2 linked regions of the Caenorhabditis elegans genome follow. The protein of the gene in region 2 interacts with the protein of the main gene of each other region in a pairwise test. Each region holds a gene or a part of one and is shown on either strand. Other genes may lie near its edges.

Evidence for each region.
Region 1: the proteins of vab-3 (region 2) and ZK121.2 interact in a two-hybrid assay, tested with the Caenorhabditis elegans proteins (2 studies listed by BioGRID).

The regions. Positions count from the first base shown.
Region 1 is NC_003281.10:5,339,950-5,343,705, reverse strand, and holds the start of ZK121.2 (R3H domain-containing protein), read right to left. Parts: upstream 2,025-3,756; 5' UTR 2,017-2,024; coding exon 1,813-2,016; intron 1,430-1,812; coding exon 1,098-1,429; intron 1,054-1,097; coding exon 913-1,053; intron 795-912; coding exon 386-794; intron 109-385; coding exon 1-108.
Region 2 is NC_003284.9:10,497,856-10,501,611, reverse strand, and holds the start of vab-3 (Paired box protein 6 homolog), read right to left. Parts: upstream 1,723-3,756; 5' UTR 1,507-1,722; intron 1,375-1,506; exon of another isoform or gene 1,319-1,374; intron 525-1,318; exon of another isoform or gene 418-524; intron 1-417.

The DNA.
Region 1 (3,756 bases), on a different chromosome or scaffold from region 2:
GTGGTGATGAACCATCACTGATGGAGGTGTTCCACAAACTACTGGCACACTTTGCTCGTAACAGCCATGTGATATTCCGTTTGCCATTCCTCCGAAGCTCTCTGCTTTCTGGAAAATTTAGAGGTTAGAGTTTGAGAAGCGTTTTTTGCGCCCACGGCATGTGATCTTAAATTTTTCGAAACTCGGAAACTTATGGAAACTTATGAAATGTATGAGAGATACTCGTAAATCGACATGGCTGAAGCTCACAGATATTGACGGCCACACGTTCAATCTCAATCATATATTGATTCAAAATCTTGTAGCTTAGCGATCGTGAGAAAGTAAAACTCGACGCTGTTTCTTTTTTGAAAAATCGATTTTTCAGGCGAACTCTGATACTCACCCTCATCATTGGATGTTTTCCAGTGCACAAATAACTATTATTGGAGCAATCAAATGATCTTTGCGGTGCCCATTGATGTCCCTGTGGTCCACTCATTGGTGCAGTAACCATTGATTGTTGTGGGCAGTTGAGTGAAAGTTGTCGCATCGGAAGACCTCGAACATGATGTGGAGATTGAGGTTGAATAACTGATGGTCCAGTGACTGCTGCCACGTCAAATGATTGTGCCCTTCGCATCATGAGTAGATCATGATTAAGACTTGCTTGACTTCCATATTGACTCGTCGAATGATCACCGAATGATTCCATATGGTGAAGTTCCTTGCGGGATCCGCAAGTGTTTTGTCGTTTCAGTCGGTCTTCTACGTAATTATCGTGCCGGATGTAGTCGGTGAAGTTGTCATCAGGACTGGAAATTTGTTACTTTTCTAGTTAAAATCTGACAAGACCAAATAAAGGGGCTAAACTAAAACAGACAAAATATTATGATTTTCATGATACATACATCCGAAAATTAATCAACTCACATTTTGGTTTTCTCTGACTTGTTCACAACAATATCGGTCTGCTTATTCGTAACATTATGATCAAGACCAAACCACGCGGCACACCTGTGAAGAAGCATTCGGTGATAGGATGATGGAAGCTCGAATCTTTTCGATTGTGTGCTGAAAATTATCAATTTCAGACTGAAATTTTAACAAAAACGAACCTATCATCTAAAATAAGTTCTTTGAGTTGTTTTTCGAACTCCAGAAGCTGCTTCCGATCTTCTTCACTCTTGTGTAACGTGCGATCCACAAAATTCCTTAGATCAATGCCACTTCTGTCCGAGTACTCGGTTCCTGTGGACTCTCTGCTTAACGATTTCGATGTGGACCACAGTTTATTCTGTGCGAGACCCGGTGGGCGGAGTTTTGACACGTCACTGCTTTCTGCTGGCTTCTCCTCTTCTTTGCCTTCTTCTGGATGCTCTTCTATGCATGGGACCGTAGTATCCGAGTTTTCTGATGGGCTATCAGAAATTGACAGGAGAGATATTGGCTAAAAATTAAAAAATTTCAGTCGAAAACGACCAGATTTTGTCTATAAACTTACAAACATTCTTCGAAATTGGGTGAAAAATATGAATTTCAGCAGACTTCCTAACAGGAACTATTTCAGTTTTCAGCGCGGCCTATGACACAAAATCGGATCATCCTCTGATGATTCACAAGAGAGTGAGCTGATCAATATGATAATAAAATAATGTATTCTCCAAGCAGCCGACATTTTACGGGTTAGTGATAACTTTTAGCCGGCTTCAAGAAGTTGTGTACCTTAGCAGCATACACCATACGGGACAAGAACTACATCAGCAACGGCACCCATATTCGAAGTCCGACACTTCGCGGGACAATTTCCCACCTTCCCTTGAAATTGCTCACCTCTTCAATTGTTGCATTCTGTTTTGAAAGTCGTCTTCGAACACTTCCATTCCTCCGAACTCCCTCACTTTCTGTAGCTGGCACCGTCGTCACATTCATTGTCATTATTACCGTAGTCGATCGTCGCCGATCATCTTGTTTTGCGTCTTCAACATCGTCAAGCTCTGAATTATTCTCTTCTGAAACGTCGTTTTCGGTTGACATTTACACCTGAAAATTTGGTTTTTGTTGGAAGCACAGAAAAAGCAGAGGATGAGAATTTAAAAAAATAGGATTCAAGAAGTAGTACTACCAAAAAAGAGCAGAGTTTGCATGAAAATGGAGCAGTGGGTAAGCTTCAGCTGCTTTAGAGTCTCCGCCCACGAATGTCCTTCTCCCCCATTCAATGCTAAGCCCCGCCTTTTGAGAACCAAAAAACGAGACGAAATTTCGCAATAAAAAACATAAAAATGAATATAAATACATAATAGGCCTATTTTTTGAAAAGGTATAATAGTTCGAATAAGAAAAAGAAGAAGGTATTTAAAAATTAAAAGAATTTCCAAGCTTTTATCTATGCAGAGATAAGAGATACCAAATAAATGTAAACAAAGAAATCTGAGGTGAAGCAGAGGTTCAAAGAAAACGTGGAGGAAGCAAGAAGGGAGGAAGTTAAAGCCCGTTATAATTCAATTTGCGGGTGTTTCTTGCGTATTCTTGCAATAAAAATAAAAATTCTATTGCGAGTAATTCAAAAAAAAATTCGGTATTTCCACTTTTATGTATCTTCTCGTCTAATTGTAAGTTACATAACGTCAATTTTACAACTGTGGGTCTTGTAACGGAATCTCTCGTTTATTATAGCTTAAAAGTGCATTGAAACATGAAAATTAACATTTCAAACTGAACTCCAGTCTTCGCGGTGGGACCCAAAATTTGTTGAACCTAGGCAAAATTAGTAGCTTATAGAGTTCAAAAAATTAAATTTAAAATGACTCTTCGAATTACAGTAATCTAGTTTTTCCAATCATGTCCTACTTCCTACCGTATGACAACTTTATCACCAATTTTCTATGAAACAGGCAACTAAATAAGCATGAATTAACAACTAAATATCACTGATAATATGCAGTTTCCATCCATTTTCTCAAACATTTCCAATTATTTCTGCGAAAAGCTCAAAATCAGATCAAAATCATTTTCAAGGGGGATTTGTAGGGGATTAGAAACTGCCAAATAATGTGTTTTTGTGGTGGCTCACGGGTGGGAGTGCTCATCTTGAATAATAATGGGTGGGAGGAAATTGAGGTGAGGTTTCCTAACGGAAATTGACTTTTAGAACTTTTTCGGTATGAATCTCTGGAAAATATAGTGCAAACGTAGTTCTACATCCAAAAACTTGATAACTTGAAAGAATTGTAAAATTCTTAGAATTTTTATTTGAAAATTATAAATCTCTTTTGAAAACTTTCAATAAAAAGATACTAACGAGCGGAATTCAGAATACCGTATTTCTTCTATTAATATGGCCTCCCTATTAGACTTGCACTCCCTATTAGTATTGCACCTTTGAATTTTGAGATTTTTACAACATTTTTTGCCTACTTTGCAACAAATTTTTGGTAAAATTTCTATGGAATTGAAGTTATTGTACCTTTTTGTTGCAATTGCAATCAAATTTTCTGAATTTTTACATAAGATACGAGTTTTTTTCAGAAAAAAATAGTAAGCTCAAAGTCAGAAAAATGTTCTGAAAATTAGTATTGCACTCCCTAATAGTCTTGCACTCCCTATTAGTATTGCAAGCGGGAAGACCATCGAAAAATAGTATTGCAGCCATATTAATAGAAGAAATACGGTAGTTTACTTTTGGTTAGATAAATAATATTTTTTTGCAAAGTTCAAATATATGTTTTCTCCATTTGGCTATGTTGTAAACTCTATACTAAAAGTATAAACTAACTC
Region 2 (3,756 bases):
AAGATAAAGTTGCATAATTGGAAGTAGGCATGACGATTTTGGCAACTGAATGACGACGAGAGCGAGGTGAGGACTGTTGTATGGGTGTCAGATTTGTACATCTGATAACATATCTTATAACTCATCGATGGACTGTCATTATCAATTGGCTAAGTGTTTCCGGAATGTCCCCACAGTTGAAAATGCTTTGCCTGTGAGCCAAATCGTTTATCCAAAGGAGCATAATGACAAGTTAAAAAGATCTACTAAAACGAAATTTGATGGAAAGGCTTTCGGGTCAGAGGAGTGGGGCTCCATGTAATTTGGAATAGCACAATTTTCAACTACTCGTTTGACACTGACGAGAGAGAAAAAGAGAGGGGCGCCAAAAAAGTAGTGGTGCCTGATGGCGAACACCTTCAACTATAGGGACAGGGAAACAAGGCGCGGACAAAGACCTCCATCAAACGACGTTTTCGTTATGACATCTTCCAAACAGCGGGTGTGCCGGTTAATGGGTGTCAATTCAAGCCAATTACAAAAACCCCTCTCAGTGATGGTGGTGGCGACAAAAATGTTGAACATGGAGAAAACGGAACGGGTGGGAAAAATGAGTAGACAAATCATCAAAACTTTTAAATTTGATTGAATGCATTGGAATTGCAACACGGGGCAAAATTCGAAAATTGGAGTAGCGATATGTAGATTGCGGGGAGAATTACGATGATTCTGTGTTGGCCATGGAGTCGGCGTCACACACCGGAAATCCAGATACGGTAGATGGCTAATGGAATTTGGAGTCAATGATGGACACATGCGGATGTACATACACAATGAATAACATAAGTGGGAGGAGAAAGCATGGCTCCTGATGTTGGAGTTTTTGTAGAAGCATCGAACAAGATTGAAAACATTTTATGGTAGAGAAAAGAAGTTGTAGCAAAAGTTCAAAAAGATTTTTTAAATCAGAAATGCTCAAGAATTCAGTTCTAAAGTTCAAAATATATTCTGAAACTTTGCCCAGAATTTAGAACCAAACAATTATCTGTGAAAAATTATAGCAGAATGAAAAATTTTTGTGATACAACATGAAAGCTCAAAAAAATTAGGTAACGTAATTTCAGAAAAGTTTGAAGTCATAGGAGACACATGATAGCAGCCCACGACATCAATGTTTCGAGAAGGACTCGGTTTCTATATTTAGCCTAAAGACCAAAGAGTTTTGAAATTATTCAAAATATAACCAGTTCTACATTATTCCTACTTAGTTTGTTATCATTATGACAATATCGATTGTTTCTCTATTATTTATGATTGTCAATGAGGCATCAAAATTTATCTACTCAACAAGAAAGTCTAATGATAATCAGCAGAAAGGCAACAGACTGAAATGAGAAAATATATGCCGACGAAGAAGGGTAGTTCTTACTTCTAGCCCATGCCCACCTCATTAGCACGCCCATCTGAAAGTGCTCGCCATCTTATTGATTTTCTGCTAACTCATTACCCAACAAGAGTTTAACTCACCACGTTCACTTTTGTCAACTCGACCGTCACTATTTGAATACTCGCGGATTTTGGTGTTGTGTAGCGTAAAATTTAGTGTAAGTGTAGATATTGGAAGTGTTAGAATAAGAGATCCTCAGTATCTAACTGTCCAACAAACTTTCGGGGGACAGAACAAAAAAGCGCGAAACTATTTCAACGATATAGTGTGACATAAAAAGAAGACGTCGACGTCTCTCCCTCTCGGTCCACAATTGAAAAGAGCCGCGCCCGGACACGTTTTCTCCGTTGTCTCACCTAGGACACCGCTGACTTTTTGCTTCTATTCTCGGGCCAATCGTCTTCTTTGAAATGGGCGGAGTTTTCATTCATATTCTCTATGGATTATGCGCAGCTTTATTCACAATCTACCTTTTGCAACTTGTGGCAGATGGGCATTGTTTCTCGAATACATTGCCATCAATGTTATGAACATGAATCAATTTCTACTCACGTGGAAACTATTCAGTGGTAGCTCCTTCCCCCTGAACATCTGTCAAACAAGGGATTAGCCATGCCAAACTCGCGGGGTGTAGGCATGCTCTTGCCCGGTGTACAGACCAAGATATTTTGTGATTTCACTGCCAGCACCTGATTCCAATTAGAAGTTTTCACAGACTTTCTGCTCCACCGACCTCATTAGTTTTCTAAGCATGTTTACAGACATTCTGAACCATTGTGATTAACAGAATTTAACAGATCGAACAAAACTACTTGGTTTCTGAAAAGGAGATGCACCACATATCTGATTTAAAAATAAGTTTTAATCAGCTACTGCTTTTATTTTTGATGATTCCTTATACATAAATATTAATGCAACCGCATCGATATTCGGATTCAAGCAGTGTAACTGCAAATTAAACATTTAAAAAACCTCGCTATGAATAATTTTCATAATTTGATACGTGGAAAAAATTTAATGTCACTTTTCTGTAACTGATTTCTTTACTTATTCATTTATATTTTCTGCCCTGCTTGTAGCTGGCTTTACTCCACTTCTCCATTCATTGTCAGTTTCTTCTATTCTTTTCTTCGGACTACGGTATCGCTGCATCCGACAATAAAGTCTTCAGAGACGACAAATAACTAACGGAATATTGAGGGTTCTTCTTGTTGGACCGCCCGCCAGAATTCGAGGGCTCGGAAGTCAAATAGCAAATTATTCCGCTTCAGGTGTCAGTCCTATTTGAGAAAATCTGGCAGGAAACAAGTACTGGGACTGTGAAAAGTAAATAGAAAAATTTTATTGACACACTAAGAATAATTTGCATTTTTTATCGTAGTTTACAAAATTTCCACATTTATCAATCTCGGAGTAAGATTTTTTGTATTAAAAATATATTTTCCAAATTTTAGACGGTTGTCTAAAAATAATTATACTTGGCATTTGGCGTTACCTGCGTTTTTCCCAAAAATTAAAAAAAATATTATTTAAAAACTGTTATTTGGATCAAACTTGGCGTAAACTTAAACACAGTCCAAACCAAGCTTATCGTGTTGTGATTCAAGTTGAAATTTTTTGCCAAACTTGGGCAAGAAGCTAGCGTCAAATGCCGATTACACAACAGACAAATTTACACCAGTACCTTTATCTGGACCAAGTCATATGTGGTACATCACGCCAAAAATGAATACGGCGAAATGTTTTTGGAGATTCTGTACGCATGAGTGAACAGAAGATGTCGTTTTCCCACTTTTTGGATTTTTTTATTTTCAACGACAGCCGCCGCACTTTTTTGGTAACCAAATGGGATTCATGTCCGTATTTGGCGGGAATGATCGCCCTGAATTAATTTTTTAAAGATAAAATGAGAAAAAAAGGTAGTAGAGGATGTCAAAACTATTTTTCTGAATTTTCAAAATTGAATTATTTAATTTTAATCTAATAATCAGTAAATGTAAAACCAAAAAAAAAACTACATACAATAGACAATTTGATTTATTAAAACTCTGTAATAAATATTCTAAAGGTCAAACACCAAAAACTCCAACACAAAGCTCCAAATCTGCTGAAAAGGAACGATTTGAAGTTTTTACTACTAAAACATATAAAAATGTTGAATAATGTTTATAACAGTAGAAACTTTGGTACTTATGGGTTTCGTTCTCCCCAAAATGTTGTAATTTTTTTAATTCCAATTAACCACAAAAACGTGAATTTTAGTTGTTTTATTTGTATGGATTTATTTGTTTCTTTGGTTTTTTTGTAAAAATGAATGCTTTGTTCCGTAC